5 linked regions of the Macaca mulatta genome follow. The protein of the gene in region 5 interacts with the protein of the main gene of each other region in a pairwise test. Links are inferred from orthologs where the notes say so. Each region holds a gene or a part of one and is shown on either strand. Other genes may lie near its edges. The genes, in order: RBM41, KPNA2, KPNA3, KPNA4 and HNRNPC.

Evidence for each region.
Region 1: the proteins of HNRNPC (region 5) and RBM41 interact in binary tests that used the Homo sapiens proteins (3 or more experiments, as listed by UniProt). The two-hybrid records come from large-scale screens. The link is inferred for Macaca mulatta from reciprocal best matches to the Homo sapiens genes HNRNPC and RBM41.
Region 2: the proteins of HNRNPC (region 5) and KPNA2 interact in binary tests that used the Homo sapiens proteins (3 or more experiments, as listed by UniProt). The link is inferred for Macaca mulatta from reciprocal best matches to the Homo sapiens genes HNRNPC and KPNA2.
Region 3: the proteins of HNRNPC (region 5) and KPNA3 interact in binary tests that used the Homo sapiens proteins (3 or more experiments, as listed by UniProt). The link is inferred for Macaca mulatta from reciprocal best matches to the Homo sapiens genes HNRNPC and KPNA3.
Region 4: the proteins of HNRNPC (region 5) and KPNA4 interact in binary tests that used the Homo sapiens proteins (3 or more experiments, as listed by UniProt). The two-hybrid records come from large-scale screens. The link is inferred for Macaca mulatta from reciprocal best matches to the Homo sapiens genes HNRNPC and KPNA4.

The regions. Positions count from the first base shown.
Region 1 is NC_133426.1:113,863,223-113,868,370, forward strand, and holds the end of RBM41 (RNA-binding protein 41), read right to left. Parts: intron 4,292-5,148; coding exon 4,144-4,291; intron 2,570-4,143; coding exon 2,403-2,569; 3' UTR 1,171-2,402; downstream 1-1,170. UniProt on the Homo sapiens protein: May bind RNA.
Region 2 is NC_133421.1:77,785,273-77,791,644, forward strand, and holds the start of KPNA2 (importin subunit alpha-1), read left to right. Parts: upstream 1-2,361; 5' UTR 2,362-2,465; intron 2,466-3,743; 5' UTR 3,744-3,766; coding exon 3,767-3,841; intron 3,842-3,990; coding exon 3,991-4,128; intron 4,129-6,372.
Region 3 is NC_133422.1:29,023,531-29,029,679, reverse strand, and holds the start of KPNA3 (importin subunit alpha-4), read left to right. Parts: upstream 1-2,583; 5' UTR 2,584-2,615; coding exon 2,616-2,684; intron 2,685-6,149. UniProt on the Homo sapiens protein: Functions in nuclear protein import as an adapter protein for nuclear receptor KPNB1. Binds specifically and directly to substrates containing either a simple or bipartite NLS motif.
Region 4 is NC_133407.1:63,732,555-63,738,948, reverse strand, and holds the start of KPNA4 (importin subunit alpha-3), read left to right. Parts: upstream 1-2,866; 5' UTR 2,867-3,156; coding exon 3,157-3,225; intron 3,226-6,394. UniProt on the Homo sapiens protein: Functions in nuclear protein import as an adapter protein for nuclear receptor KPNB1. Binds specifically and directly to substrates containing either a simple or bipartite NLS motif.
Region 5 is NC_133412.1:94,077,309-94,083,001, reverse strand, and holds part of HNRNPC (heterogeneous nuclear ribonucleoproteins C1/C2), read left to right. Parts: intron 1-1,421; exon of another isoform or gene 1,422-1,457; 5' UTR 1,458-1,493; coding exon 1,494-1,734; intron 1,735-4,905; coding exon 4,906-4,981; coding exon of another isoform or gene 4,982-5,020; intron 5,021-5,612; coding exon 5,613-5,660; intron 5,661-5,693. UniProt on the Homo sapiens protein: Binds pre-mRNA and nucleates the assembly of 40S hnRNP particles. Interacts with poly-U tracts in the 3'-UTR or 5'-UTR of mRNA and modulates the stability and the level of translation of bound mRNA molecules. Single HNRNPC tetramers bind 230-240 nucleotides.

The sequences.
Region 1 (5,148 bases), on a different chromosome or scaffold from region 5:
TTCTAATCTAAAGTGTGTCTCCAATAGATGGCATGAAGTTGAATCAGACTTGTTTCTGACATCTCTGCCTTTTATAGTATTGTTTAATCCATGCACATTTATTGTTATTTTGATACAGGAAGATTCATGACTGCCATTTTATTGTTTTTGATATGCCTCAAGCTTTTTGCTTCTCCATTCCTTCTCTTGCACTGAGTATTTCATAATGTGATATTTATATTTCTTTAATAATATTTTTGATTTTTAAAAGTTATTTCCTTAGTGGTTGCTCTAGGGCTTACCATACACATCTTAACTAAACTGAATAGGCTTCAGATAAATACTAACTTAATTCCAATGTAACAACCCTATTCCTATATAAACCCATCCCCTGCTTTGTGGTATTATTGTTATACAGGTTATTTCTATACATTATAAACCCAACACACATTATTTTAATTACTTAATTTTACATCTTTAAAAGAAGCTGAGAGAAGAATAAGTATATGTTTATAGTTTTTTTATATTAAACTTCTTATTTCCTATTTCACATTCTCTCCATTTGTTACTGTGGATTTGTGTTACTATCTGGAGTCAGTTCTTTAGTACAAGACAGTTTTGCTTCCATTCAGCTTCTTCGTCCTGTTATTGGCAAATATATTATATTTTATATGTTATAGGCCAAACAATGCAACTATATACATATTGTTTTATACAATTGTTTTTTACATTAGTTAAGAGAAAAAAGAAAAATGCATAGATTGTTTCTGATAATTACATAATTATTTTTGCCTGTGCTCTTTTTCTGCATGTGTGTAGATTCAGATTACTGTCTGAGTTCACTTGCTTTCAGCCTGAAGAACTTCCTTTTGTATTTCCAGTAAGTCAGGTCTGCCAGCAACAAATTCTCTTGGTTTTTGATTATGAGAGATGTTTTATTTCACCTTCATTTTTGAAAAACAGTTTTATTGTATATAGGATTATTGGTTGACAGTTATTTTCTCTGAACACTTTGAATGTGTTATTCCACTGCCACTGCTACTGTTTCTGAGGGAAAGTCAACTGTTAATTTTATTTGGGTTCCTTGGTAAGTGATGGCTCATTTTTCTCGTATTGCTGCCAAGATTTTCTTTTTGTTTTTGGGTTTTAGCATTTTTCTTATGATGTATCTGTTTGTAATTTCTTTTTCTTCTGGGATGTATAGGTTAATGTCTCTCATCAAATTGGGGGTATTTAGAGCCATTATTTCTTAGAATATTTTTCTGCTCCTTTTTTTCTCTTCCTTTTTTCCTATACTCCTATTAGAAATATGTAGGAATGCTTAATGGTGTCACACGGGTTCTATACTCTTGTTTAATTTTATTCATTTTTTTTCTTTCTGTTCTTCAGCCTGGATAATATCTCAGTTCATCTTCACAACCCATTGAGGTAAGTAGCATTATTATCCTTACTTTATAGATGAAAAATGGGAGGCTCAGATTAAGTGACTTGCCAAGGTCACACAATGTTAAGTGTGGCTGTACAGGTCTGACTCCAATTTGTACTACTTCCTCTCTGCATAGTCTTTTTATTTTCCAGCAACCATAAACAAACAACTGGGGGATTTGTGACTGGCATCCTCTTTTCTAGAGAACTCTTTCTTTCCATTTCCCTTTGGTATTCTTTGCTAGTATGTTCCTCTTCTAAAATTCATATGCCTAATATTTAACATATATTAGACACTTAATCAATGTTTATTGCTTTGAATTCAATGGCTACTCAATGGTTGGTAGCTTAAATGGCTATCAGAACAACAACATTTTGATCTAAAATATTTCACTAGAAAAATATATAGCTTTTTGAAGACTGATAACTTGTGGAGGAAGCATTCATTAAATATGTCCACTGACTTATGAAACTACCTACTATTACTGCTGATAGTTCTGACTTAATAGCATTTGTTGATGCTTAGGCCTGGGGTCCTGCTCTTTTATTTACTAGGTGGATGAAATATGGACAAATGGCCTCTAGTAAATAAATATTTCAACATTTAATTAGTTTTTTGTTTCTGTATATAGGAAGCAGTCTAAGAAAGAATGTTATCTCTAGAGACAAATATTGAGGACCCCAGAAAAATTATAAAGATTTTAAAAAATCCTTAGGAATAATCCTTTTTAATTTATCCTGAGAAAATAATACTCTTTGCACTCTACCCTTCATATTCAGCATATCATCTGTCCTATATAGTCTTCAATTATATAAAAGAAAATGTTTTCTACCAGTTCTCTCCAAAAGCTGAAAGGGGTTGTCCTAATTACTTTTTTTCCCCTCCCTCAGTTAGTTTTTCCTCTTCAACTCCAAACAAACTGGTGTCTATACATAAATCCTAGATCCAAGATTCCAATTCAAGAAAGACCATCCAGGACCCACAATCTATATATATTCTAGCTACCACTGATTTCTGTAGTGCTACCTGTAGCACATGATATGAGAGAAGTCGCTTGGAGATTTGACCGTTGCTTTTTGTTCTTTCCAAACTCTATCACCAATATTTTCCCACGTAGTTTATATCCATTTACTAGATGCAATGCTTGCCATGCTATCTCCTTATCTAAAAGAGAAAGAAAAAATTTCAATTTACATAGGACTGAACAATTCAATTCTATTCCAGGTCTAGTTTAGGTTATTTTGCCTTGGAGTTAAATGTAAGCTATAAGGCCATATAGTCATTTGATTTTTATCATTTTTTCTATAATCTCCCATTTGCATTATTCAGCAAAATTAAATTAGTGACTAAAAATAATAATAATAATAATAATAACTCAAAATGGGTGTTTGAGGGTGTCTCCTAATTCAAAGAAATAAGTAGAGAAACAAAAATATAGGTAGTGTGCTAAAGAAGTCTAAGCTATTAGTAATTATATATAAGCCTCTACCTTAGGTAACAGATTATAGGTATTATTAGAATCAATCATTTTCAAAATGAGTAATGCAAAAAAAGTTATGTTATTGAGAGCACTTTGCTACTTCTATTTTTTTTTTTCAGTGGGAGAGTGGTTCTGGGCCACCTTATTGGGATAAATAAGTATAAGAACCCTTATAGGCATATGGAAGGTTGAAATGTGAGAATATATACATATGCCAGGAGTATTCAACTTATGGGTCTAAGAGTCTGGATGTAAGAAATAAGGAAGGGATGATTTATGGCCAGGAGTTTGTGGAATCATAAGTAGACAAGTAGACTGACCAATTTTGTTTCATATATATATGTACTACAAATTTTTTTAAGTGTATAGCTTTCAAGATTAGTAAAACAGCTATACATTTTAAAGTACTTGCTTTAAAAGCCTTTTTATTATGTATTTTTTCAATTAATACATCGTATTATATGGGGCGCCCATAAACTTGTTTTTAAATTTAAAGGGGGTTCTTACACTTGAAAAGACTGAAAACCACAGTTACAGAGCATTTAGAAACTTTCAGTATGATAGGAAAGATGACACAAGACTGTATGAAAACAATGGAGGGGAGTTTGGCAGTACTCATGTGTAAAACCACTTGCCTACATATAGATTAATAGGCTATTTAGAAATGACGATACTTTAGGGACAATGAGAGGTACAATGAAGGCTACAAAGCCTTCCCCCAAAACAACGTATTATCTGGTCTGTCACAGAAACTGAAATTCTTATATTATTCTTCCCGTTGGATTAGAAGCTATGCATTAATTAATATGCAAATAATAATTAGAAGACTGTATCATCATCTACTAATTATGAATAAGTAATAAATTAGTATATTAGCTTGTGCTCACTTAGTCCTAAAGGAACAGTGCATAAGGCAAGTACATGTGTTCTGATCAGAATACTAATACACTAATTAATGAGTAATCTAATTATAACTTGGACCAGAAATACTGTTGTCAGTAAAGGGAGTACAGATTTTGGTAGGGTAAGAAGGAAGTACCAAGACTGGGAAAACCTGAGGACACTGGGGTAGTGTGGCCATGCACTGTCAATGGAGGAGAGGAAAGAGAAAGAAATACTGAAAACATATTTTTCGTTCCTTCTCTTGTTCTCACATGCTGTGGAGAAATCAAAGGACTATATCTAAATTAGAGAGGTTATAGGTAGTCTCTAGCGAACTGAGGGGCAACTGAGTAATCATCTGGATGAAACTACTTACTGGGAAAGGTGACAAAAGCCTGGCCCCTCATTCGTCCAGTCATCATTCGGAATTGAATTGGAGGTCCTTTTTTCTCCTGGAACCGAGCGAACAATGACACAAGATCTCTTTCAGTCACCCGAGGGCTAAGGTTCTTCAGGTATAACACCTAAAACAAATTGAGAATCAACCAAAATATCATAAAAAGGAGGTAAGGCAATTCTTTTTTTTTTTTTCTTTTTGAGACAAAGTCTCACTCTGTCACCTAGGTTGGAGTGCAGTGGCGCAATCTCGGCTCACTGCAATCTTGGTCTCTTGGGTTCAAGCAATTCTCATGCCTCAACCTCCCCAGTAGCTGTGATTACAGTCATACCTGGCTAATTTTTGTATTTTTAGTTGAGATGGGGTTTTACCATGTTGTCCAGGCTAGTCTCGAACTCCCAACCTCAGGTGATCCACACGCCTTGGCCTCCCAAAGTGCTGGGATTACAGGCGTGAGACACCATGCCCAGCCGTAAGGCAATTCTTTCATTATGATTACAATTAGTTTCACATAAAAATAGTGGATTGAATACATTCATTTAATTTCATTCCATCCAGAAAACTCTCTAAAACTATGGGCACTTAAAAAAAAAAAAACACACACAAACTAACAAGGTCAGGAGGAACAAGAAAAGGAGACAACAGCAATAATAATCTGGAAGATGAAAAATAATTGGATGAGCAGGAACCAACTCAGCACACTGAAGAAAGTTGAATTTTAAACTGGTAGTGGAGAAAGCCAAGAACACACCTGTCACCACTTAAGAATCCTTAAATAGTTCAGGAACTGATAATTTCACTTACTTTCAGAAATAAATGTGAAGGGATGGGGTTAAAATAAGGCAGGTCAGTTGAAAGCTGTCTAAAAGCCAATATGATTTTTAAATACCCTCCCTCACAACATGCTATGGGGTAAAAGATAACTTGCCGATTCTGGTAGAATACTTGAGGCTCATTGTCAGAAGATGGGGAATGCCATACATG
Region 2 (6,372 bases), on a different chromosome or scaffold from region 5:
TTTGTATTTTTAGTAGAGACGAAGTTTCCCTATGTTGGCCAGGCTGGTCTCGAACTCCTGACCTCAGGTGATCTGCCCATCTCATCCTTCCAAAGTGCTAGGATTACAGGTGTGAGCCACCGTGCCCGACTATATCGTATCTTTCAAAGGCAATTTTGGGCATTATACTTCTGTTTCAGGTTGTTTTTAGGTGCAAGTACAGAATAGCGGTTCAGAATACAGATCCTGGAACCAGGATCTGTTATGGCTGAATCCTGTCTTTGCCATGTACTGGCTGTGTGACCCTGGACAAGTTACATAAACACTTGTGATTCAGTGCTCTCTTTTGTGAAATAGAGCAAATAACAGTACTACCTCACAGTTGTGAAGATCAAGTGTATTAATACATGGTAAACACTCAACACTTCTGGACACATAGTAGTCAGTATTTTCAAGCAAAAGAAACTCAACTTGGCTTGGTATGGTGGCTCAGGCCTGTAATCCCAGCACTTTGGGAGGCGAAGGTGGGTGGATTGCTTGAGCTCAGGAGTTCAAGACCAGCTTGGGCAAAATAGTGAAACCCTGTCTTTACAAAAAATACAAAAATTAGCTGGACGTGGTGGTATGTACCTGTAGTCCCAGCTATTTGGGAGGCTGAGGTGGGAGGATGGCTTCAGCTCAGGAGGCAGAGGTCGCAGTTAGCCAAGATCGTGCCACTCCACTCCAGCCTGGGTGACAGAGCCAGACCCTGTATCAAAGACAAGAAAAAAAAAGAAAAAAAAAAAAGAGAAGAAACTCAACTTGACAATACAAAAGAAATGTGTATCGGATCTCATAATTGCAAACCTTCAGAGATAGAGCGGGTCAGACCTCTCAAGGTTTCCCTACAGTTTTCTTATTCAGATTTCTAGGACTCACATCCCTCAGTTCAGAAGAACAGAGGCTGCTTTCCTACCTCCAACCAGTAAACAAAAGGCACGGGCTGTCCAACTGGATGAATTTAGGTCATGTGCCTGCCCCTGAACCATTCTCAGTAGCTGAGAGAATGCCTCACAGTGATTGGTTTAGGGGTGAATTCCTTCCACATTCTTGCATTTAGGGGGATGGGATTATGCTGATTAAGAGTAGGTGCAACCCTTTATGAACTCTGGCTGCTATACAATGAATGAGGCTGGCATTAATGACTGCAAGAATGGACAAATTTGGTGTTTGAATTTATTTATAGTAAGAAATAAACCATGACAACTTTTCTAAAATGTAATCTTTTAGAACACAAAAAAATTGCAGAAACAAAAATGGCCCATAATCCTGATGCTCTGTTGACCATCTTTGTTTTGTTTCTTCGTTTGAGCATATGGCAAAAAATGCAAAATTCAGAAATGTGTAACGAGCATAGAATGTTACTGGAACAATTGACAAAACTTGAACACAGACTACATACTAAACAACAGCATGAAATTTCAGTTTTTCTGAATTTGACGACTGCAGTGTGGTTATGTAAGAGAATGTCTTTTCTTAGGAGATACACCGTGAAACAGAGGAAAAAGGACATGATTCTGAAACTCTCAAATGTTTCAAAAAGTAACATATTGAAATCACACATAGGTACACATGTGCATAGGTATACATATATATGTATAGAGACAGCAGTAGCAAATGTGTTAACATTTGGCAAATCTGGATAAGGATTTGCAATTCTGCTGCATTTGAAATTATTTAAAAATACAAAACTTGAGTGTTTGGAGAAACAGGAATAAGAAATATTTTGTTACTATATTTGCGGCTTCTATACAGTCTTTTACGACGCAATTGAAAAAAAAAACTAAACTAAAAAATATAACATAAATCTTCCCTCCCATAGTGGCCAGAAACCCCTGCCAAGTTCTTCGGATATCGTAACAGGAAAAAAATGCAAAGCAATATGTCTTTCTATAAAGATTACTTATTTACTAATTATCATTTTTTAATTTTCATGAAGATCAACAACAAAGTTTTTTTAAAATAATGACTTTGAGAATCATTTTGCGGTATTTGTTTAAGGCTCTCGCCCAGGAAAACGCCCAGGGACCATGCGCGCTTCAACCCAGTGGAAACACGAAAGGCCCAGGGACCGCCCCTTCGCGTTGCTTGACGGGATCTGGAGTCCTCCCGCTCCGCCCTGCCAGGCGCTCGGGAACCGCCCGTCTGCTCCCTCATCTCGCGATGCCATCCTCCTTTTTTTTTTTTTTTCCCCCCTCCCACTCGCCCCTAAGCCCTATGACTCCCTCCCCTCTCAACGTGTTTTTCAAATCCACCAATGGGCACACAGCTTGGGCTCGAACCAGCCAATCGGAATGCGGAGTCACCGGGAAATTTAAATCGCGCCGGCCGGCTGCACGAGCCACACGGTCTTTGAGCTGAGTCGAGGTGGACCCTTTGAGCGCAGCCGTCCCACAGCCGCTGATTCCCCGCATCGCCTCCCGTGGAAGCCCGGGCCCGCTTCTCAGGTACAGACTCAGGCGGCGGCTCGGCCCGAGCGCTAACGGTTTGCCCGCGGGCGGCGTTCGCCTTTGGGTGGGGGGAAGGAGGCCCCGGGTCCACGCCGAGCCTGGCTCAGCCTCCCGCGTTGTCTAGGCCTCGGGGGCGACTGGTTCATTGACCAGGCGGCTGAGTTTCGCGGGGTCTGCGGGTTTAGGGCGCCGACGCTCTTCAAACGGCAGCGGAGACCATAACGCGTCGCGGCCGGGAGAATCGGAGCGAGCCAGGCCTGAGGGCGAATGTCCCGGGAGGGCTCGTGGCGGCCCTGGCCTCGCTTCCCCCTTTCTTGTTGCATCTTCCCCGACGTAGGGGCAGGGGCAGGGGCTGGGGGTGGCAGTTGGGAGCACTGTCTCTGACACTTTGGCCCCGGGGTGGCTGTGCCACCAAGTCGTAGGCGAGCGTAATGAAAGCAAAGATAGCAAATTGTAAGGAGGGCTTTGACTTTTGTCGTCTTCTGAATGACGCACAGCTGATGTCGTCCTAATTAAGTGCATTCGCTCCTAGTCTCTGGAAATGCAAATCAAATATGCGACATGCGGCACTGCATTTTTAATGTTGACCATAATGTAATGATGAAGCAAATTTTTTTTAGTTTTCGAATCTGCACCTATTTTGGCCAAGTAAAGACAGTAAAGTAGTGCGAGCCTCCTGAGAATCTGAATTTATTGCCCTGGCACATAATTTTTAGCTGTAAGTTAACTTGGTTCCCCTGCTTTGCCTTGGATTAACTATTAGGGACTCTGGAGTATCGAGCCAGGCTGTCAGAAACGGTGGACACACGTGGCTAGTCCAAATTGAAATACGCTGTAAGCTTAAAGTACACAAAAGACTTCAAAGATAGAGTATGGAAAAAGAATGTAAAAGATGTCAGTTATTTTATATATTGAAATATATATGTTGAAATACTATTTGGATATGTTGGGTTAAGTAAAATAAATTATTGAAATTAGTTTCACTTGTTTCTTTTCGCCTTTTAAAAAGTATGGCTACTAGGAAGTTTCAATTTATATAGCTTGCATTCTATTTCTGATGGACAGCCCTCTCCAGGAAGTCTCAGCGCTTCAGAGGGAAGGGGGACAGTTCCCGTTTGGGTAAAGCTATTTCATAGTGCTGAAAGCATGATGATCCCCCCTCTAGTATACAGGTGTGGATTCAGTAGATGCTTGATAATTCAATTCTTATTTGGTACTATTATTGACAAAGGAAAATGATAAAGGAAATATTTTTTCTCCTCGCCCATCTTTTAGCTTTCTCCCTTTGTCTCATAACCATGTCCACCAATGAGAATGCTAATACACCAGCTGCCCGTCTTCACAGATTCAAGAACAAGGGAAAAGACAGTACAGTGAGTACCTTCTGTTGCTTTCCTGTGGTGGTGTTTAAATGGGAGGACATTTGGAAAGGGGTGAAAACTTAGGGATCTTTTTAAAAATACCCTCACTTAGCAACAAAAACTGATGTGATAGGTGAAACGGCATGTTATCTTTTCTCAAGGAAATGAGGCGTCGCAGAATAGAGGTCAATGTGGAGCTGAGGAAAGCTAAGAAGGATGACCAGATGCTGAAGAGGAGAAACGTAAGCTCATTTCCTGATGATGCTACTTCTCCGCTGCAGGAAAACCGCAACAACCAGGTAAAAAATGTATTTTGGTTTATGAGTTACGTGAAATCCAGAAAATCAGTAGGAACTTTTCTTAGAAATTCAAGTAAACTTAACATTTTTAGCCTTAGGTTGTAACTATCTGTGAAGATCTTTTTCTCTGTTCCCAATTAGTAATTGTCTTCTTTCCTGCCTTCCATAATCCACTGAAGCTGATTTAGGATCTTCCTTTAGCTCTGACCTTCCTTCAGACTTCCCTGCATTTCTAGCTGCTAACTGGGTACCTTGACCTGACCACTGTGTCCAGAGCCAACCAGTTTCTGGTTTATTCTTTTTTTTTTTTTTTTCCCTAGACGGGGTCTTGCTTTGTTGCTCAGGCTGGAGTGCAGTGGCACAATCTTGGCTCACAGCAACCTCTGCCTCCTGGGTTCAAGCAATTCTCCTGCCACAGCCTCCTGAGTAGCTGGGATTACGGGCACGCACCACCATGCTTGACTAGTTTTTGTATTTTTGTTTTGTTTTGTTTTTTTGAGTTTCCCTCTGTCGCCCAGGCTGGAGTACAGTGGTGTGATCTCAGCTCACTGCAAGCTCTACCTCCCAGGTTCACGCCATTCTCTTGCCTCAGCCTCCCAAGTAGCTGGGACTACAGGCACCTACCACCCTGCCCAGCTAATTTTTTTCTATTTTTAGTAGAGACGGGGTTTCATCATGTTAGCCAGGAAGGTCTCTGATCTCCTGACCTCGTGATCCACCCGCCTCGGCCTCCCAAAGTGCTGGGATCACAGGTGTGAGCCACTGCCCGGTCTGTTTTTGTATTTTTAGTAGAGGCAGAATTTCACCATGTTGGCCATGCTAGTCTTGAACTCCTGACCTCGTGATATGCCTGCCTTGGCCTCCCAAAGTGCTGGGATTACAGGCGTGAGCCACCAGGCCCTGCCCGTTTTTGGTTTATTTCTGCCTTTTTTGGTATTCTCTCTTTTTTTGTATTTGTCACCAGCTTTGTTCAGGACTTTCCTTCTGAAATATTTACGGTAGCCTCCTAAGTTATCATTTCCTCCTTTCTGTGCCATATATTATTTTCCTGAAATTTTTCCTAAAGTACTGCCTTAGACATGTGTTTTCTCTCCTCAAAATCCATCCTCCAAATTGCTTGAACCTGGTAGGTGCAGGTTGCAGTGAGCCAAGATCGTCCCATTGCACTCCAGCCTGGGCAACAATCAAGGAAAAAAATAAAAATAAAAAAATTCATATTCCAGCTGGGCATGGTGGTTCATGCCTGTTCATGCCAACACTTTGGGAAGCTGAAATGGGAGGATCACTGGAGGCCAGGAGTTTGAGCCCAGCCTAGGCAACGTAGCAAGACCTTGTCTCTATAAAAAATAAAGTTAGCTGGGCATGGTGGCATTGGCCTTTAGTCCTAGGTATTCAGGGGGCTGAGACAGAAGGATCACTTGCCAGGATTTTGAGGTTGCAGCGAGCTATGATTGCACTACTGTACTCTGTGCTGGGTGACAGTGAGACACTATCTGTAAAAATAAAAATCCCTGCTCCATGAAGGCCTTCCATAAAGTAGACCTATCTTAGATTTTCAAATTTATCTTTCATCTGGGCACTTTCCTACATCTTTTTCTCACAATATGCGTCCTTTTTTTTTTTTTTTTCTTAAGATGAAGCCTTGCTTTGTTGCCCAGGCAGGAGTGCAAGGCACCATCTTGGCTCACCACAACATCCGCCTCCTGGGTTCAAGCGATACTCGTGCCTCAACCTCTGGAGTAGTTGGGATTACAGGCATGTGCTACCATGCCCAGCTAATTTTTGTTTTTTTCCAGTAGAGACGGGGTTTCGCAATGTTGGTCAGGCTGGTCTCGAACCCTGACCTCAGGTGATCTGCCTGCCTTGGCCTCCCAAAGTTCTGAGATTACAGGTGTGAGCCACCACGCCCAGCCACATTATGCTTCCTTTAGCACTCCACATTTATCTTTTTTTTTTTTAATTGAATACTACCTATGTTCTATATCTAGGGTACTAATACTCAAAGCTCATCTTCTCCTTATAGCACTCCTTAGTCTAGCAGGAAAGACACTTCTTTCTCAGGATTCTCTAGCACCTGGTTCTGCACCCAAAATGGGGAGTAAATGCTGTGTAGCCCATCTATTTACCACTTGTTTTACGCTGTTTGTCTCCTTGTCACATTTCCTCTGTGAGGCGTCAGGCTCCTGGAGAGACAGGGATACTGTCTTTTTAAATTACGGGTAGCACTGGTTCTCAAACCTTTCT
Region 3 (6,149 bases), on a different chromosome or scaffold from region 5:
GCCTCAGCTTCCCGAGTACCTGTGACTACAGGCATGCACCACCACGCCCGGCTAATTTTTGTATTTTTGTAGAGAAGGGGTTTCACCATGTGGGCCATGGTTGGCCAGACTGGTCTCAAACTCCTGACCTCAGGTGATCCTCCCACCTTAGCTTCTCAAAGTGCTGGGATTACAGGCGTGAGCCACTGCGCCCCACCTAGCTAATGTATTCCTTCTAAACTCATAGCTGGTGTGTGTGCGTGCGCGCGCGCGCGCGCGCGCGTTTCCCTTCAAATGAGTGGTTAGACTAAGATCAGGTGTTACAAACTGAGGACCTGATATTCTGAAGTGACTGAAATGCTTAAGTCTATTAACAAAATGTGAATTAACATTTAAAAATAAAGCGAAAAAGAATCTACCTTTTTGGTGTTCCTTGAAAAGTGGAATCTTCTGGCAACACTGGGCCACAGTCCAATATGACTAGAGTATCTGAAGCCTGTGTTTATCAAGAGGCCACACCCCCCACTCACAAAGACGAATGCCCCTGGACATAGCTTTGCCACCAAAGGCTTCTGAGGGCCTCAAGCTCTTTTTTTTTTTTTTTTTTTTTTTTTTTTTTTGAGACGGAGTCTCGCTGTGTCTCCCAGGCTGGAGTGCAGTGGCGTGATCTCGGCTCACTGCAAGCTTCGCCTCCCGGGTTCACGCCATTCTCCCGCCTCAGCCTCCCAAGTAGCTGAGACTACAGGCGCCCGCCACCACGCCCGGCTAGGTTTTTGTTTTTTTTTTTTTTTTTTGTATTTTTAGTAGAGACGGGGTTTCACCATGTTAGCCAGGATAGTCTCGATCTCCTGACCTCGTGATCCACCCGCCTCGGCCTCCCAAAGTGCTGGGATTACAGGCTTGAGCCACCGCGCACGGCCAGAGCCTCAAGCTCTTTAAGGCCCTTTTGGTTTAAAGATTGTCCTTTTTGATCCCGTCATGGTATATTCCTACCAACTTTTGACCTCAGTTCAATTAAATTATAAGTACTACAACATTACATACCTGCTCATGTCTACCATAGATTATGAAAATTAATTAACATACAAGCTAATGAAGCTCACCTGCTCCAGAAAGCAGCTTTTTTTGTTTGTTTTTGAGACAGAGTCTCCCTGTGTCGCCAGGCTGGAGTGCAGTGGCGCGATCTCGGCTCGCTGCAACCTCCGCCTCCCGGGTTCAAGCGATTCTCCTGCCTCAGCCTCCAGGCGCGCGCCACCACGCCCAGCTAATTTTTGTATATCTAGTAGGGAAGGGGTTTCACCATGTGGCCCATGGTTGGCCACACTGGTCTCGGTCTCTTGACCTTGTGATCCGCCCGCCTTGGCCTCCCAAAGTGCTGAGATTACAGGCGTGAGCCACCGCACCCGGCCGAAAGCAGTTCTTTATCAGTGCAATCCATCCAAATTTCCCTGTTTCATTCCTTCGATGCCCCCGGAGGGAGTGGGAGTGCTACACAGGAAAGTGTGCGACCCAGGGCTTGGCTGCTGCCTGAAGGCTAAGATTATGTGTGGTGGTAGAACAAGAAGTGTTGGGGGCATGGAAATACAGGGACTGCCAGAGTGAAGGTTGCAGAACCGGGGTTGGGAGGATGATGAGAAACTGGGCGACACTAAAGCGCCACTTCAACAAGTATTTATTGCGTATCTACGACGTGCTAGGCATTGTTTTGACACTAGAGATTCAGCAGTAATTCAACCAAAGTACCTGCTCTCATTGAGCTGAATTCCCGTGCGGGCAGCCAGGTAACGCACGTAAACACTCGTATCACGTAGATACACATGTACATGTCAGCTAGAAATAAATGCTATTTATAAAACTGAAGCAGAGCATGGACACAGCGAATGAAGGTGGCTGCTATTTGGGAAGACCTCCAAAAAAGCGAGACTGCGAAGCACCCGCGGTTGTTCTTTTTCTGATTTTCTACCTACCCGCAGCGAGGTGCGCTCCCAGAAAGCTCCGCCCTCTTCCTCCTGATAGGGCGCAAGGTGCCAGGGAAGCTCCCCTCTCTTCCCCGCCCAGAGGCCGCCTTGTGGGGGCGGAGCTTTGCGCCCAGCAATCTGAGCGCGGCGCGCAAAAAGCCGCGCGCGCAAGGGTCCCGGCATTCTCCTCGTTCGCACTAGGCGTGGAGAATTACCCCAGGCGGATCGTGGCATGCTGGGAACTGTAGTTGACGACCGCTCCCCCCACCCGCGCCTGAGGGGCGGTAAAAGCCGCCAGGTCCGGCTCCATTTCTGACACCAGACTTGCAGCACTCAGGGATTGTGGAGAGCCCTAGCAGGGAAAGAGGGCAGGGTCATCCCGAGAACCAACTGGCACGTCCAGCCCGGCGAACGCCCAAGCCGGTCGCCGCCCCCGGTCACGTGTCGCCAGCCTCCACGGGCGCGCGCCGCTCTCAGCACTGTTCCCGCCCCACCCGGCCCGGCAGTCTGCCCGCGCCTCCCCCGGCGCTACTGCCACCTCGCGCTCGGAGGCGTCACGGAACGTGCTCTCCTCTCACCCTCCCCCCTCCTGCTCTCCTCCTCCTCCCCCTCCCGCGCCGAGACTCGCCGCCGCCGCCGCAGCCGCAGGAGTAGCCGCCGCTGGAGCCGCGCGCAGCCATGGCCGAGAACCCCAGCTTGGAAAACCACCGCATCAAGAGCTTCAAGAACAAGGGCCGCGATGTGGAAGTGAGTGTGCTTCCGTGGTCTCGGCCCGCCTGGCCGCGCCGGGCCGGCGACGCGGGGAGGGGCGGGGGGCCGGCGCCGGGCTGGTTCTCGTCGGCTTGTGGTCGGCCGGAGTTGGCCGCCGCCTCCCGTCACCGCGGCCCCGGGTTGGGCGGAGCGGGCGGTGAGACGCGGGCCGGGCTGCAGTCACCCTCCGAAGCTGCCGGCGCGGCGACCGGGAAATGCCGGGGTTTTCGGCCCCGTCACGCGGGCGCGGCCTTGTGTCGGCGAGGAGGGGATGTGGAGCTGAGGCGGGGTCCTCGGGCCGGGGCCGCCCGAATGAACGGGGATGCTGCCGCCCCGGCCCGCCGACCGCACAGCCGAGGGGGCGGCCGCTGCTTGCGCCCGCCGCTGGTGCAACCTTCCGCCCGGTGCAGCCCCCTCTGCGCCTCCCGCGCGGCTGCACATGGAGCCTCGCCTCTGCCGGTCCCGGCTGCTACCTTCTGCTAGCCGGGCCCAGGCGGGCGGTGGCGGCCCGCAGAGGGGGGTGGGGACCAGCCGGGTAACTGACTTGTTTGAGGGTGATGGATGGGGGAGGGTAGGATGCGCCAGGACCATTTTCTTATATTCCAGTGCTCGTCTTTGGACTAGTCGTGCCGAGCTGTTCTAGCTCATACTCCTGCAACTGCTGGCATTTGGAGCGAGCTGAAGGTGGACAATAGTTTGCCATCTATTGTGTTCAGGCTTCGGAAAAGAGGTTGTTCTGACCTCCGTTTATAGGACTTGTTTTCTTAGCCTTTCTTGGAGTGGGGTGTGCATAGAGTGATACAATTTCTTTGACACGTTTTACTAAAATAAATTGGATACATAGGGTTCATACGTCCTCTTACGTACCTCTTGCTCCAAGCTAGTAGAATTTCCAAGTGGTTGCAAAACTAAACATTCATCGCGGTCACTCAGTTAGTTGCTACTCAGCATGTTGCCATTGTCTCATTAAGGTGACATTAGCAGGTACTATTTGCAAACTCGGCTTGTTGAGGCAGCGCTAGAGGTCTCTCTGCAGCTACTGAAAACAGTAAGTATAATGCACAAACTTCACTGGGACCGTGACCTTTGGATTTGTTAGGGGGAAAATAGTTTTAAGGCCACAGCCTTCTTTTCTAATACTAGCCGACATGATTTGCAGTTTTGTAATTTTTGGTAAGAAGCTGGTGTGATTAAGAGGTGTGTATTTTATCCTATCTTAAGGAAGGTTGTGGGGGTAAATACACCATTCAGCGTTCTATTTTGTAGAGAAACAGACAAACTCAGGCCGTTTTTCGAGCTACAAAATTAAATACTAGTAGGAAAAAACCTAGGGAGATATCCGTGGAATTCCCATTTAAATGAGTCAAAGATCATATATTCTTTCCTGGTCATGGTTAAATATCCTTTGTGAGAAATACATCTAAGCAAAAGTAAAACTTGGGAATAGACACAAGAAATTTTGGAACTGCCTCCTGTTATCGGTCCACTTGATGACAAGTGTTAATTTTGAACTTTTCCCATTAGGAATTTTTCTTGACGCCTACCCTGTTCCAAATAAAAATGTATTGAAAAATACTCATATTGTTGGTACAGAAGAACCAGTAACATTCTTCCTTCTCTTGGATATTGGTACAGGTTTTTGTTTCATTGTTTACCTCTATTATTGTGTTATGGTAGCTCAGTGATACTTAGTAAGGACTCCTGCACATAATAGGTACAAAACAAATATTTGCTGATGATAAGAATGTAACCAGTGACTTTTAGATGCATGAAAAAGAGCATGGTTGCTAAGCCATTCAGCCTGGTGTTGGTCACAACATTACATTTCTCGGGACTCTACAGGGTAACTAACACATGAAATAGACATTCAAATGGTAGTTCTAATGTGACAGACACCGCGTTAAGAGCTTCATGATACCTTATTTAATCTGTGTAACAAGTGTATGAGTTAGGTGTGGCATTATCCCCACTTTACATGAGGAAAGTATTTTTTGAGACGGAGTCTTGCTTCTTTACCCAGGTTGAAGCGCTCAGGCACTCCTAGCTCAGCTGCAAGCTCAAACTCCTAGGCTCAAGGAATCTTCCCACCATGGCCTCCCATGTAGCTGGGACTACAGGCAGACACCATCACACCTGGCTAATTTTTTAATCTTTTGTGGAGACGGGGGTCTAGCTTTATTGCCCAAGCTTGTCTTGAACTCCTGGGCTCCAGTGATTCTCCCACCTCAGCCTTCCAAAGTGTTGGAACTACAGATGCTAGCCATCACACCCAGCTGGAACTTTAGGTACAAAACCTCAGTGTGCTTATGTAGCCTGTGCATGTCACTCAGTGGATATGGGTATTATTTATTCACTGATTGTCTATGGGTATCTATCAATGTTAGGTCTTGGGGATAAGGAATAAGATGCAGTCTGTACCTCAAGGAGTTTACAGTCCAGTGGGGGTGATAATTACAATGCAGAACAACAATTGTTACAGTGTAGTATTCCGAAAATGCATGCCAAAAAACTACTTGGAGGTGAGCAGAAAGGGAAGATACTCTGGTTGATTTCTAATGAATGAATGGGAGTAAGCTGATTGTGAAGGATGAAAGAAAGGTGGCCAGGCAAAGAGCGGGAGAAGGCCGGTGGAAGAAAGGGGCATTCCAGACCAGAGGGAGCAGTAATTGAAGAGTCCTGAGAGAAATGTAGGAGAGAGAGAGACTGAAAGGTAAACTGGGGTCAAATCTGATGAAGGGCCTTTATTGGGGATTTAGGCATGTCTAAGAGTAGATAACCATGCTTAGTCTTGTCCATTAGAAACATAGTACAACTTAGCTCTGTAACTGAGTAGTTGTGGTTATCAGGCTGTTCTAAAACAGTGAGATGCACTTTGATAAGCTGTGATGCCTATTTTTTCACATACAGGATAGACAAAAGCTGAAACATGTTAGAAATTGTAGAACCAGCTGATACACAAGATGTTAGGTGCAAGAATAAGACACATACTTGTTAAAGAAAATAAAAGGATAGAGTTATGCCAGGGGATTGTGAGTAGAGACAGGGTTGAGGAAGAAAATTTCTTTATCATTCAATCAAGAGAGACTTTAAGAGATTTTTGGAGAGGAAAAAAAAAATGAGGTTAGTGAATCTTATAGGAAGTATGTACCAAACTTAAAAGGGGCGTGTTAACTGGTGAATAAATATCCAGGTAAAAAAGAAGAGTGATTATATTAAAGAGAGGAGACTTCCAGATGGCCTGTGTTGGTCCAAGAATATCTTGTGGCAAAGAGTTGCTTGGAAGCTTTTTTTTGATAGGGAGATCTGAAGGAATTTATTCCAGAGCAAAGAGGAGGTGTAACATGATTAGAGCAATGGAAAGGGTGACAGGGCAGTTAATACCTAGAATTCATTTTGGAGAAATAGTGCTGCTATCTGGTCTGCAAGGAAGAGTTTTCCAAAAAATTAAGACTGGGAATGGCT
Region 4 (6,394 bases), on a different chromosome or scaffold from region 5:
CTACATCCTTCTTGATGAGGACAAATTCATTCTCCATCTCTGTACACTTATGGATCTCATCCTCATACTTGTTCCTGAAGTCCTACACCAGCCCCTGCATGTTGCCAAGCTCCGCTTCCAGCTTCAACTTCTCCTGGCTCCAGCTGCTGCCGAAGGTTGTTGATACAGTTCCCGAACATGTTGTCCACGCTGCTTCCAGCCATCTTCGCTGCTGCAGAAGGCTCCACTTGGTCTCCAGCATCTTGTTCTGCTGCTCCAGGAACCATACTTTGTCTATGAAGGAGGCAAACTTGAGGGTCTTGATCTGCTCCTCCTCCTGGGTGTGGACAGCCTGGATGTTGGAGTCCACCTCAGGGTTAAGGGGGCTCAGCAGGCTCTGGTTGACCGTGATGGTGGTGATACCTCCCATGCTGCTGGCCCCACCATAGCCTCTGCCCAGGCCACCCCAGAAGCTTCTGCTCCCCACGAGGGAGAGAAGTTAGAGGAGCTGGTGCAGACACTGGACCCACTCATATAGAGGTGGCTGCTGAAAGCCTGGGCCAAAGGTGGACACCTTATAGGACTTCTGGGTCACCCTGATGGACATGGCGGAGGCAGGCAGGCTGAACCAGGTGGAGATTCCAGAAGGAGTGGAGAAGCTGCTTATTGATCTCAATCCACATTTTTATCAAGAGGTGTTAGCTTGTTTTTCAATTTAAGTGGAGGCCTGTGGCATTTCTGTAATACTTAAAGGCATTTTTTCTGGTTTTCCTGACTCCTACTTTCGGGGCATACGTTCTTGCATTTGACAAATAGTTCCTGAGTACTTATGTGCCAAGTACTATTAGGTGCTGGGTATACAGTAGTGAACAAAACAACTATGCTTCTTAACTTCAGAGAGCTTACTGTCTAGGGAGGAAGACAGATTTTAGATAAACAAATAAAATCATAAATTGCGGTTATTTCCTATTTGTATTGCATCTTTCTGAGTTGGTAACTAATTGCAACCCTTTTTTAGGAGTCTTCTGCAGAGAGAAAACTCGGGTTGTTGTTTAATCATCAGAGACACTCAGTTGTAGCTGGAGACACGAAGACATGTAACGGACACTTCTATAAACTTCATCATGAAAGCTACCATGACATGTATTCCAAGAAGTAACAAAATGTTCATCTATTGATACGTTGACAAGGTAACTTTTATTCATAGGGTGGGAATTCGCTGGTAATTTGTTTTCTTGAACACTGCTTATGATAAAATCCATGATGGCACAAAATACACACATACTCCAGCTTTTCAAGTGAATTTTCTTATCCTAAACACATTTTGAAAAACATCAGTGCTCTGGTATGCAAATACAATGTTACTTCAATTAAATGACTCTTTGAGGAATAACATTTTATAATGAACATCATCATTTGTATTTAAGATCTGTTCTAAATTTATATTCAAGTTAACCTTCAGTGTGAGTTATTCCCAGGCACAGCTTCTGTTGTCCATAGCCCAGTTGATGGTCTATAAAGTATTGACGACTTTAAAGGTACTACTCTGCTTCCTAAGTTTTTACTTTCCTTTCCCCCACTACAATATCCTCTCCAAAGTGATTCCTAAAGTACTCCGGCTCTTTTCATTACCTCTCCCCCAAAGGAAACTCAGTTGTTCACATCTGTTAAACCCACTGACTTCTTCCATTTTAACTTAAAAAAAAATTCCCCTCTGTTGGCTTTAAAAGTGTTTCCCTAAGAAACATATGCATTTTAAACATTTATCTCTGCACGTTGTTCTGCTCAAAAAATACACTAGAAAGGACCGGGAGTCAACGATTCTGAAGGAGTTTGTATCAGGGTCTCTTCTCCCTGCCTAGCCAAGTTTAAACACACCCAACGCCTCGATTCCTTGCTTCCGACCAGAGTTGCTGCTTTACATATCCCTGGACATTTGAGATGTTATTCGTTGATATTTCAATATATTTTAAGATAATTTTCCATTTCTGTTTTGTGAAATTTTTGAATACGTTCTTTTGTATCTCGTGTCATTTCTGCCTCTGGTAATGTTGTTGTCCCTGGTATCCCTGGAATTCATTTCCTTTCTCAACAGACAATATTCCCTGTCAGCTGCCACGGGCTCCGCCCTCCAGAAGTTCATACTTTGTGGTCAAGCAGCTTCTTTAACTTTCTAAGACGAATTACCTAGGAAGTGCTATTGTCCAAGGATCACCAGCTCTGCCTAAATTCCTACCTGTTGCGGGCGCTTAGTCACAGAAGATAAATCAGATACGTCTACTGGGCCCTTTCCTTTTCCACCCAGCGTTCCTGTCGCTTTCCGCTGAGCCTCCTCAACTCACGTCATCCCTGCAGGTCCTGGCCCCCAGACTCGACCCTGGACGGCAGGGAGCCCCAGCCCGGGAACGGAGCTGCGAGCGTCCGACCTGGGAAAGAGCGAAGCTCAGATCTCTCTGCAAAGCGAACAGAGAGCGCAAGGAATGCCCAGGAAGACAGGGCGCGCCCGGGGAGAGAAGAACGTTACTTTAACGCAGTCTCGACCCTGGACCCCTGCATCTAGGGCTTCCCGGACGAGTGATGCAAAACAACTCGCCCTGCTGCGTTCCCCGGCCTCTCCTTCCCCTTGCTGGTTTCCCCTGAAGTGTACTTCTCTGTCGCTTCCTCCCCATCTCTCCGAAGGCACGTGGTCCTTCCCTGCCTACCCCAGCCGCACCCCTCCCGGCCCCGAGCCGGCTCCTCCCAGCGTCGTTCGCTTCCCCTTTCCGTTCGCTCTTTCCGCCCCGGCTCTCCATCGCCCCTTCCCATTGGTCGAACGCACCGGAGCCTGGTTGGCCAATGGGCGAGCTGGGCTGGAGGCGATGGGCGTGGCCGCAGCTCCGGGGCCCTCAGATCGAGGCTGCCTCCCCCTCTCAGCCGGCAGCACATTCCGCCGCCGTTGCCGCCGCCCGGCCCCACAGTTGTCTTTGCCGGAGCTGCAGTCGCGCTGGGGTTAGGGCGGGGGGGCGGGCGGGGAGAGGAGAAGGCCGCGGCGGAGGCAGGTGAGAGGAGGAAGGAAGCGGCGGCGCGGCGAGCACAGCAGCTCAGGCGGCGACCCGGTTCCTGGGAGTGTCGGTGCGGCGCGGTGGTTGGGGCGGATCCCGCGGGGCCCGGGCGGGGGAAGGAGTCACCGGCCCGGCCATGGCGGACAACGAGAAACTGGACAACCAACGGCTCAAGAATTTCAAGAACAAAGGCCGCGACTTGGAGGTAAACTGCTGGACGACGCCGGAGGGGTGGGGGCCGTGGGCCTGGGGCCGGTCTCCGCCGGGACCCCGAGTGTGGGGAGTAGGGGCGGGAGCCGCCTCCGGGCCTCGGGGAATGGCGCTGGGGGCCGGCCCGTCCGTGACGCCTCTGCTAGCGCGCCGGGAAGTTTATGTCGGGCCTGCTCCGCCTCCGCCGGGGAGCGAGGTGCCCGGGTACGGCCGGCGCGGCCTAGGCCTGCCCGGCAGAGCCGGCCCGGTGCGGGTGCGAGGGGTCGGGCCGCGCGGCGGGGAGGCCGGGCGCGGCGCGTGCGGAGGAGGCGTGCGTGTGCGGTCGGCGCTGCCCGGCCCGGGCCGCGGCCCTCCCTGGCAGCGGCGGAGATTCCGGCTCTCGCTCGGGCACCGACGTCTGGCGCTGCGGGAAGGAGGGCGGTGGGGGTGGGAGGGTGAGCGTGTGGCGACCGAGTGGGGCTCTGAACTTCCTCAGCGAGGCCTGAGGCGTCTCCACTTAAAGGCATTTTTTCTGGTCTTCCCGACTCCCGCTTTACCCCTGCCTCCCCCCAATATCCAAACTACAGGACAACTTCTCCGTTGAAAAAAACACCCCCGGCGTGAGAGGCCATCCTGGTGATGCTAACAGTGCCTTCCAGCGGCCTGTGTTTTACTCTGGATATAGCTGATTCAAGATGTGGCTCACGGTGTGCCCTCTTCCAGGCAAAGGATACCCCTTATTTCAGCTTGTCCACAAATCTCTTTACCCCCTCCTGAGAGGAGACCACCAGCTGCATTCTTACATATAAAGTCCAAAGGGTTATACAAAGCTGTCATCCTCTAGTCTACAGTATCCTTTCCCTCCACCTGCTGGTGGTGGTAGTGGGGGATGGGGTGGGCTAGGGAATGGCACCATCACGTTTGATTATTTAAAAAAGAAAAAAAAAAATCATTGTCTTAGATACAGCTGCTCCCCAGATTGTCTACATGGGGCGTATGGTTTAAATACATGCATTCACACACGCATACCCACACACCCCACTGAGATTTTTGATAGAAGACTTCTTCCCTTCAGCTTTAATAGTTTAGATAAATAGATTTATTTTAATACTTCCCTTCTGCATCTTAATCACGAGTTTAGCTTTTAGGGAAAGTGGTCAAGCAGTATTTTTTATGTTGTTCCTCGGTATGTTTTCGTAATGAAATCTTCAACTTCCCATGACATTTCTGAACTTGAGCGTTTGCTTGACTGAAATATTTTTTGGGCTTTTTACAAAGCTGTTAATATTATCTTTAAAGTAGTTTATGCGTTTTAGTGGGTTTCATAATTTGAGGGAGTACTAAGTGTCCAGGGCTGTTAATTCTGTGGTTCTTTTAAGGTTAACATATTACCGTTGTGATCCCTTTTTTAATACAAAGATGTCACATCTTTATTGAGATAATTCGCATGCTATAAAAATGAGCTGCTTAAATAACAATGATTTTTCAGTAAATTTACTTGTGGTGGTGAAAATGTTTTTTACTAATATGAATACTTAGAATGAGAAAAAAATCACAAATGATAAAACTTAAAAACTGATAATTACCACAAAATTACAGAATCCAGAAAAAGAGCAATTAGGTGCTTGACAGATCCCTGTAACCCTTTTTTCCTCTACATTTCTGGCTTCATTTTTCTAGCAGCTTCATTGAAATGTAATTCACATGGCATACAATTCACCCACTTAAAGTGGCTTTTAGTGTATTCGCAGTTTTGCAGCCATCACCACAATCAATCTTAGAACATTTTCACCACGCCAAAAAGAAACCTGTACTCATTAACAGTCACTCTCCAATTCCCAACTACCCCAGCCCCAGGCAACCAGTTTTTTGTCTTCTTAGATTTGCCTATCCTGGACATTCCATATAAATGGAATTGTACAATTTGTGCTCTTTTGTAACTGACTTCTTTCCCATAGTGTAATGTTTTCAAGGTTTATCCATGTCGTAACAAGAATGTATCAGTGTTTCATTTCTCCTTATGACCTAATGATCCTCCAGCTCATGGATATACCACATTTTATTTATCCGTTCATCAGTTAATGAACATTTTCATTGTTTCCACTTTTTTAGCTATTTTACATAATACTGCTAAGAACATGTTTGTGTGGACGTATGTTTTATTTCTCTTGGCTATATGCCTAGGAATAGAATTGCTAGATCATATGGAAACTGGCGTTCAACCTTTGGTGGAATTGTCAGACTTTCTGAAGTTATCCTTATTTTTTAAATTGATGTTTCCTCCTACCTCATATCTTTTAGCACTTTAGTCAAAATCAGATTAAGTGCTGAGGCTGTATTAGAAGAAGATTGTGATGTGTGACTTTAAAAAAACAAGTATACATTGACATTAACGAGGGTGTTTGTTTGTTTGTTTGTTTAGAAATTCATAGTGCCTTATGGTTGTCCTCTGGTGACTTTAATATCCTTTTGCATACATTAGGGGTAGGAATATTTTCACTTTTCCACCTAAGGAAATAACATATGACTCTAATGGAAAGTCATACTTTGTCCACACTGTGGCTTACTGAAAATCTCATATACTTGTAATGAGATAGAAACATTCTTTTTTATGTTTAGAAAACACTACGGTGGTCTATTTTGTGTATTTGTTACTTACATGTATGCTGCATCTCTCTAAACACTTATCACCCTTTAGATATGGTTACTACATTGCATTACATAATGTATGTAGAATACAGCAAATTCTAAGAAAATAATTGCTTTTTGACTGGGATCTTGTGATGGCATCTATTTCATGGGAAGTCTTTGGAAAGAATTATGGGCCAGTGCTGTCCAGTGAATTTAACTTAATCCAGTACATCCAGAACACCATTGCAACATCTAATTTGTGTAAAATAATTGAGAGGTTTCATATTATTCCTTTCATACGTTCAAAATCCAGTTTGTATTTTACAGTTATGGCATACCTCCAGTTGGACTAGCTGCATTTCAAGTGCTTGATAGCCACATGTGGCTAGTGGCTACCTTACTGGAACAGCCCATGTACGGAGTATAGCATTTAGGGAGAGGTAATTGTAGCATATTTTGATCTAACAGTTTATTTGATTAGAAATGATGAAGAGTACAAAGTCCTAGAGTTTAGTTTAATTTGATCTCTAACTTTGTGTATGACCTTGGGGGAA
Region 5 (5,693 bases):
TGTTTTAATTCCTCTTTTTAGTGTCCTCAGACTTTCTGGCATACTTAAGAGCTGAAAGATTGTTGATGAATTTCAGTGGCTACTGTTTGTTAATTTTTATTGCTTAGTCTTAAAATATTAAGAACTTTTTGTAAAGATATACTTTAGAAAGTAACATAAAGACAGACGAATTTCAGAAAGATTTGGAAGGAAGTGAAATTTTGTTGGAGCTTTTAAATCAGTACTGCCTGTTAAATGACTGTATTAAGCGTCAGAATGGTAGGAGTCATGTATAAATGAAATGGTGTTATACTACCTGTTTTTATGTACATGTATGTATACATTAGACATTTTTACATCATCCATAAGAACTAGTTTGTCTGATTCACTTGAGGATTGGAAGGATAACAAATACTGGAATATTTTGAGATTCATCGGAACCTTTCAAAGGGATGAAGGGGAAATCTTAAGAATGTTTTTAAGTCTTGTTCAAGATAGGGGGTTGGAGTGGGAAGAGGCAGGAAACAATGCTGAACGAATGAAATAAAACATTTTCACTTATACAGGACCTGAGATGGTATTGTGAATCTTCATATTGTTATGATAGTATTGAGCCTCCATCACATATGTAAAGACAGATAATTTTTGGTTTTAAATAATTTGTGGAAAGTTGTGTATTTTTCTTTAGTTCCCCGATCCTTAATTTGATTCATGCCGTGTTCCACTGGCTAGTTTTATCATCATCACCATCCGATATTATTAAATGTCCTATATTTTAGGTTATATAAAAAGTAGCCTTGGAGTCATTGCAGTCTGTAAAAAAAATGGTATTGATACTTACGTATCTAAAGCATCCTGCAATTAATTGAAGTATCTGGAAATAGGCATTTCCAGTATAAATGAATTGATTCTGTTTATTGCCTTTTGAAGAAAATTATACTTAATGGGTAAGTGTAAGCTATCCATATTAATCTAGCTAATGAATGGCTTGGGACAGAAGTTGACATTTGCTATGCTGTGTGTATATATACAGAACCGGTAAAAATAAAAGCAGCGTGAATCAAGATTATTGATGGCAGGGAACAGTTAGCATGACCTGTAATGTGAAAAACAGCAGAAACTGGTGTCAGAGAATTTAGGCAGTTCTAATTTGCTTCAGTTATTAGAGGAGGGCCATTTGGAATTATGTCCAAGGAAATTTATATTGCCAATGACCTGCCAGGGAAAATTTTTTTTTCCTGGTAATTGAGAGTTTAGTGCCGCTGAAATAGAATGAAGAGGAAGAAGTTGAATTTCTAGAACATATTCAGAGGCTGGAGTCTCTGAATTTATTAGTAAATACATAATGCTGTGAGTCCCTTTAAGTTGCCTGATACTCTGGGCAGTTAACAGTGTTTCAGAGTGAGAGTGGAGAATGTTTTATCAAGGCATATTGTTTTTAGCATCTGTTCACCTGAATACTTTTTTTTGCTTTACAGTTTTCAGCTTTGTGAGAAACCTTATCATCAAACACAATGGCCAGCAACGTTACCAACAAGACAGATCCTCGCTCCATGAACTCCCGTGTGTTCATTGGGAATCTCAACACTCTTGTGGTCAAGAAATCTGATGTGGAGGCAATCTTTTCGAAGTATGGCAAAATTGTGGGCTGCTCTGTTCATAAGGGCTTTGCCTTCGTTCAATATGTTAATGAGAGAAATGCCCGGGCTGCTGTAGCAGGAGAGGATGGCAGAATGATTGCTGGCCAGGTTTTAGGTAAGGTCTCCATTAAGTTAATTTTTTCATTGATGATCAGGCCTGAGTTTTTCGATTCATATTTTTTTGTTTTTGTTTTTGTTGTTTTTTATGTCTGTAAAACTGACAGCCTGAGATATTCTGGATATTGTGCCTATTCAGTCTAATAAAAATACATTAGGCTTATAGTTATAATTGGCTAAGTAAAGGATATTCTTCATTGTACCATTTTGTGTAGTAGAGACAGGACAACTCTCATTTGGCAGTTGTGAGTAGGGCGACCTGGGAATGACACTTCACAGTGTTAAAATGTTGCCTAAATGGTTATATCCTCCCCACAGCAGACTGGTGGACCCCTCTAGTGTTGTTGACTGCTTGTCTCCTCATTGGGGTTTCGCTCCATTGTTGGGCCAGTTGCAGTTTGGCTCAGTCTTAGATTTTCTTGTCTTTTCAAATGTAATGACACCTCAGAGTACTACTTATGATTTGGTTTATTCAAGCCAGAATGCAGCGTCCACATGTTTATTTGATTAGTTGTACTAGATGTCTGTTTTAACTTCCCATTTTATGTGTACTTTGTGCCTCAGTTTCAAAATAATCATACCTGTGTTTTTACAAAATTAAGATGATTATTTTCAATTTTATATTTGTGGTTTTATTCTTTGTATACATTCTACTATGTCTGTTGACTCATAGCACGATAGGTTAGAGTTACATGAAACAATTCTCTGATAATGTTATGTAACCAACCAGATACACAATTTGGGTCTATTTCATTGTTTTTACATCTTACTGGATTGCATTTTCAGAAATTCTATCTTTAGTTTTAAAACACTATATGGTTTCAAAGTCAGAATTGTAAATGAGGTTAACATACCAAAACCTGAAGGTTATTCATGTAATGGTGTTCAGCAAATAGACAGTATATTCAATTTTTGTTGTTGTTGTTGTTTTTTTTTTTTTTTTTTTTTTGAGACAGTCTAGTTCTGTCGCCTAGGCTTGAGTGCAGTCTTGACTCATTGCAACCTCAGCCTCCCAGGTTGAAGCGATTGTCCTGTTTCAGCCTCCCGAGTAGCTGGTACTACAGGAGTGCACCACCACACCTGGCTAATTTTTGTATTTTTTGGTAGATACGAGGTTTAACCATGTTGGCCGGGCTGGTCTTCACCTCTTGACCTCAGGTGATTCTCCCGCCTCTGCCTCCCAAAGTGCTGGGATTACAGGCGTGAGCCCCTGTACCTGGCCTCAGGCGGTTTTCAGTTGTTCATTTGATGAGGTCCTTTTGTATAAAAAGGTAAGATATAAAGGATTAAGTTTTAAGATATGCACGTTTGGCGAGGTGCAGTGGCTGATGCCTGTAATCCCAGCATCTTGGGAGGCGTAGTTGCGCTGGTCATGAGGTCAGGAGATGGAGACCATCCTGGCTAACACCGGGAAAAGCCGTCTCTACTAAGAATACAAAAAATTAGCAGGCCGTGGTGGCGGGCGCCGGTAATCCAAGCCGTTGAGGCAGGAGAATTGTTTGAACCCGGGAGGCGTAGGTTACAGTGAGCCGTGATTGCACTCCAGCATGGGCAACAGGGCAAGACTCCGTCTAAAAATATATATATATATGGAATTTGTATATTTTGGGGCATGTGTGTATTAAAATGAGACTAATTTTAAAGCAGTATATATGAAAATGGAGGTATTGTTGACTGAGTGCTTTAGCACGACTGGGAAGTTAAAAAACTGAATTGGCTTTCTGACATGGGGTTTTTAGAACAAGGAGAAGATGAATTCTTGTTTGGAAGGTCATGGGTGGCAGGGTAGGTAGCTGGGCTTACGTGTTACAAATTGTATTTGAAAACTAGGGTTGTTTCCCTTTGCTCTTTTATTTTTTTGATATATGTAAAGGTTATTTAAGCAACTTATGAATTATTCAGAAAGCAGTTGTTAACCCCGGATGTTTTACATGCAGTACAGCTAATCCTTACTTATAAGGGAAATCTGAAGTTGCCTTTGAGGATGATTTGAGGGTGTCACACTGCACTATATTGTTTTGTGGATTGGCGTATATTTTAATATATTTGTAATAATTCGGAATGAACTGAACCATTCTTGGAAAGGTAACCATTGATAGTTTTCTCTTGTAATAGTAACTGAGTGAACAGTCAGTGCCTTGAATGGGGAGAGTTGAGTTAAAGTGGGATCTGAGGGTGGAGAGTACCAAAGACAGACTTAATGTTATGTCTCAGGAACACTTTAGTGGTACAGAACAGAGTGCAAATACATAGAAGATGAAGTCTTAGCCTTGTAAAAATTTATGAGCCTTTTTAATATTAAAAGGAGAGATGAAGCTCAGCATGGTAGCTCACACCTGTAATTCCAGCACTTTGGGAGGTCAAGGCAGATCACTTGACCCCAAGAGTTCGTCCCTATGAAAAACAGAAAAATTGGCCGGGCGCGGTGGCTCAAGCCTGTAATCCCAGCACTTTGGGAGGCTGAGATGGGCGGATCACAAGGTCAGGAGATCGAGACCATCCTGGCTAACCCGTTGAAACCCCGTCTCTACTAAAAAATACAAAAAACTAGCCGGGCGAGGTGGCGGGCGCCTGTAGTCCCAGCTACTCGGGAGGCTGAGGCAGGAGAATGGCGTGAACCTGAAAGGCGGAGCTTGCAGTGAGCTGAGATCCGGCTACTGCACTCCAGTTTGGGCGACAGAGCGAGACTCCATCTCAAAAAAAAAAAAAAAAAAAGAAAAAAACAGAAAAATTAGCCAGCGTTGGTGGTGCCTGCTACTTGGATGGGAGGATCACCCAAGCTTTGGAGGTCTAGGCTGTATTGAGCCATTATTGCATCACTGCACTCCAGCTTGTATGACAGTGAGACCCTCTCTTAAATAAAATAAAAAAAAAATAGGAAAGATGAGTTGTTTTGTTTCATATTTTCTAATTTTTATGTCTGTGATTTTCTAAACTTTGTACTAGCTGGGCATGGTGGTGCCCGCTTGTAGTCATAGTTACTCTTGAGGCTGAGGCAGGAGAATCCCTTGAACCGGGCAGTGGAGGTTTCCGTGAGCCTAGATGGCACCATTGCATTCCAGCCTGGGCGACAAAGCGAAACTATGTCTCAAAAATAAAAAAATTAACTTTGTAGTTTGTTTTACCTGGATACAAAGTTGTCACTAAAATTTTTGCTTTTGTTTTTCAGATATTAACCTGGCTGCAGAGCCAAAAGTGAACCGAGGAAAAGCAGGTGTGAAACGATCTGCAGCGGAGATGTACGGGTCAGTAACAGAACACCCTTCTCCGTCCCCTCTACTCAGGTCCGGAAACTTTATTATTTATAACTGCATTGTGTCCATCAGTGGGCATCTTCTCTATCTGTTTTCTGGATGTGGGGAGGGTTAAGTGTACTGTGTTTTATCTGTGTGTAAATAAGGTTTCATTATTTTTGTGTTAATATGTCTCTCTTTTGCCCTAGCGAAAATTACTAGAGAATTAAAAATCCCTGAGGTTTTTGCTATTGATGTTTAGGAGTAGTTTGATATTTATAGCATAGCCTGAAATACTTCTACAGGATCGTTGAGCTTCTAAGACACCAGAGAGTAAGAGAGGGAAGAAGTGTGGTATAAGAATGTTTAGTTTACCATTCTGTTTTTCAGTGTTCAGTTTAACTATGTCGTATGTGGAAATCTTAGTGAATTTTAACCTGAATTACCAATTTGACCACTACATTTCCAGTGGTCTAAGGTGATTGGAATTGAGTGATTTATTGTATGAATGATTGGGGATCATTCAGTGCTAATCTTGTTGATCTATCTGTTGTGGTTTATTTGGCATGGTTCTCCCCTCACCTGATGTTATGAATTAGTAGCAACGTTTCCAAATTAACCCTTTTCGGTATTTATTTTTCAGCTCCTCTTTTGACTTGGACTATGACTTTCAACGGGACTATTATGATAGGTATGTTAAAAGTGTTTTGCCTTTCTGCTAAAC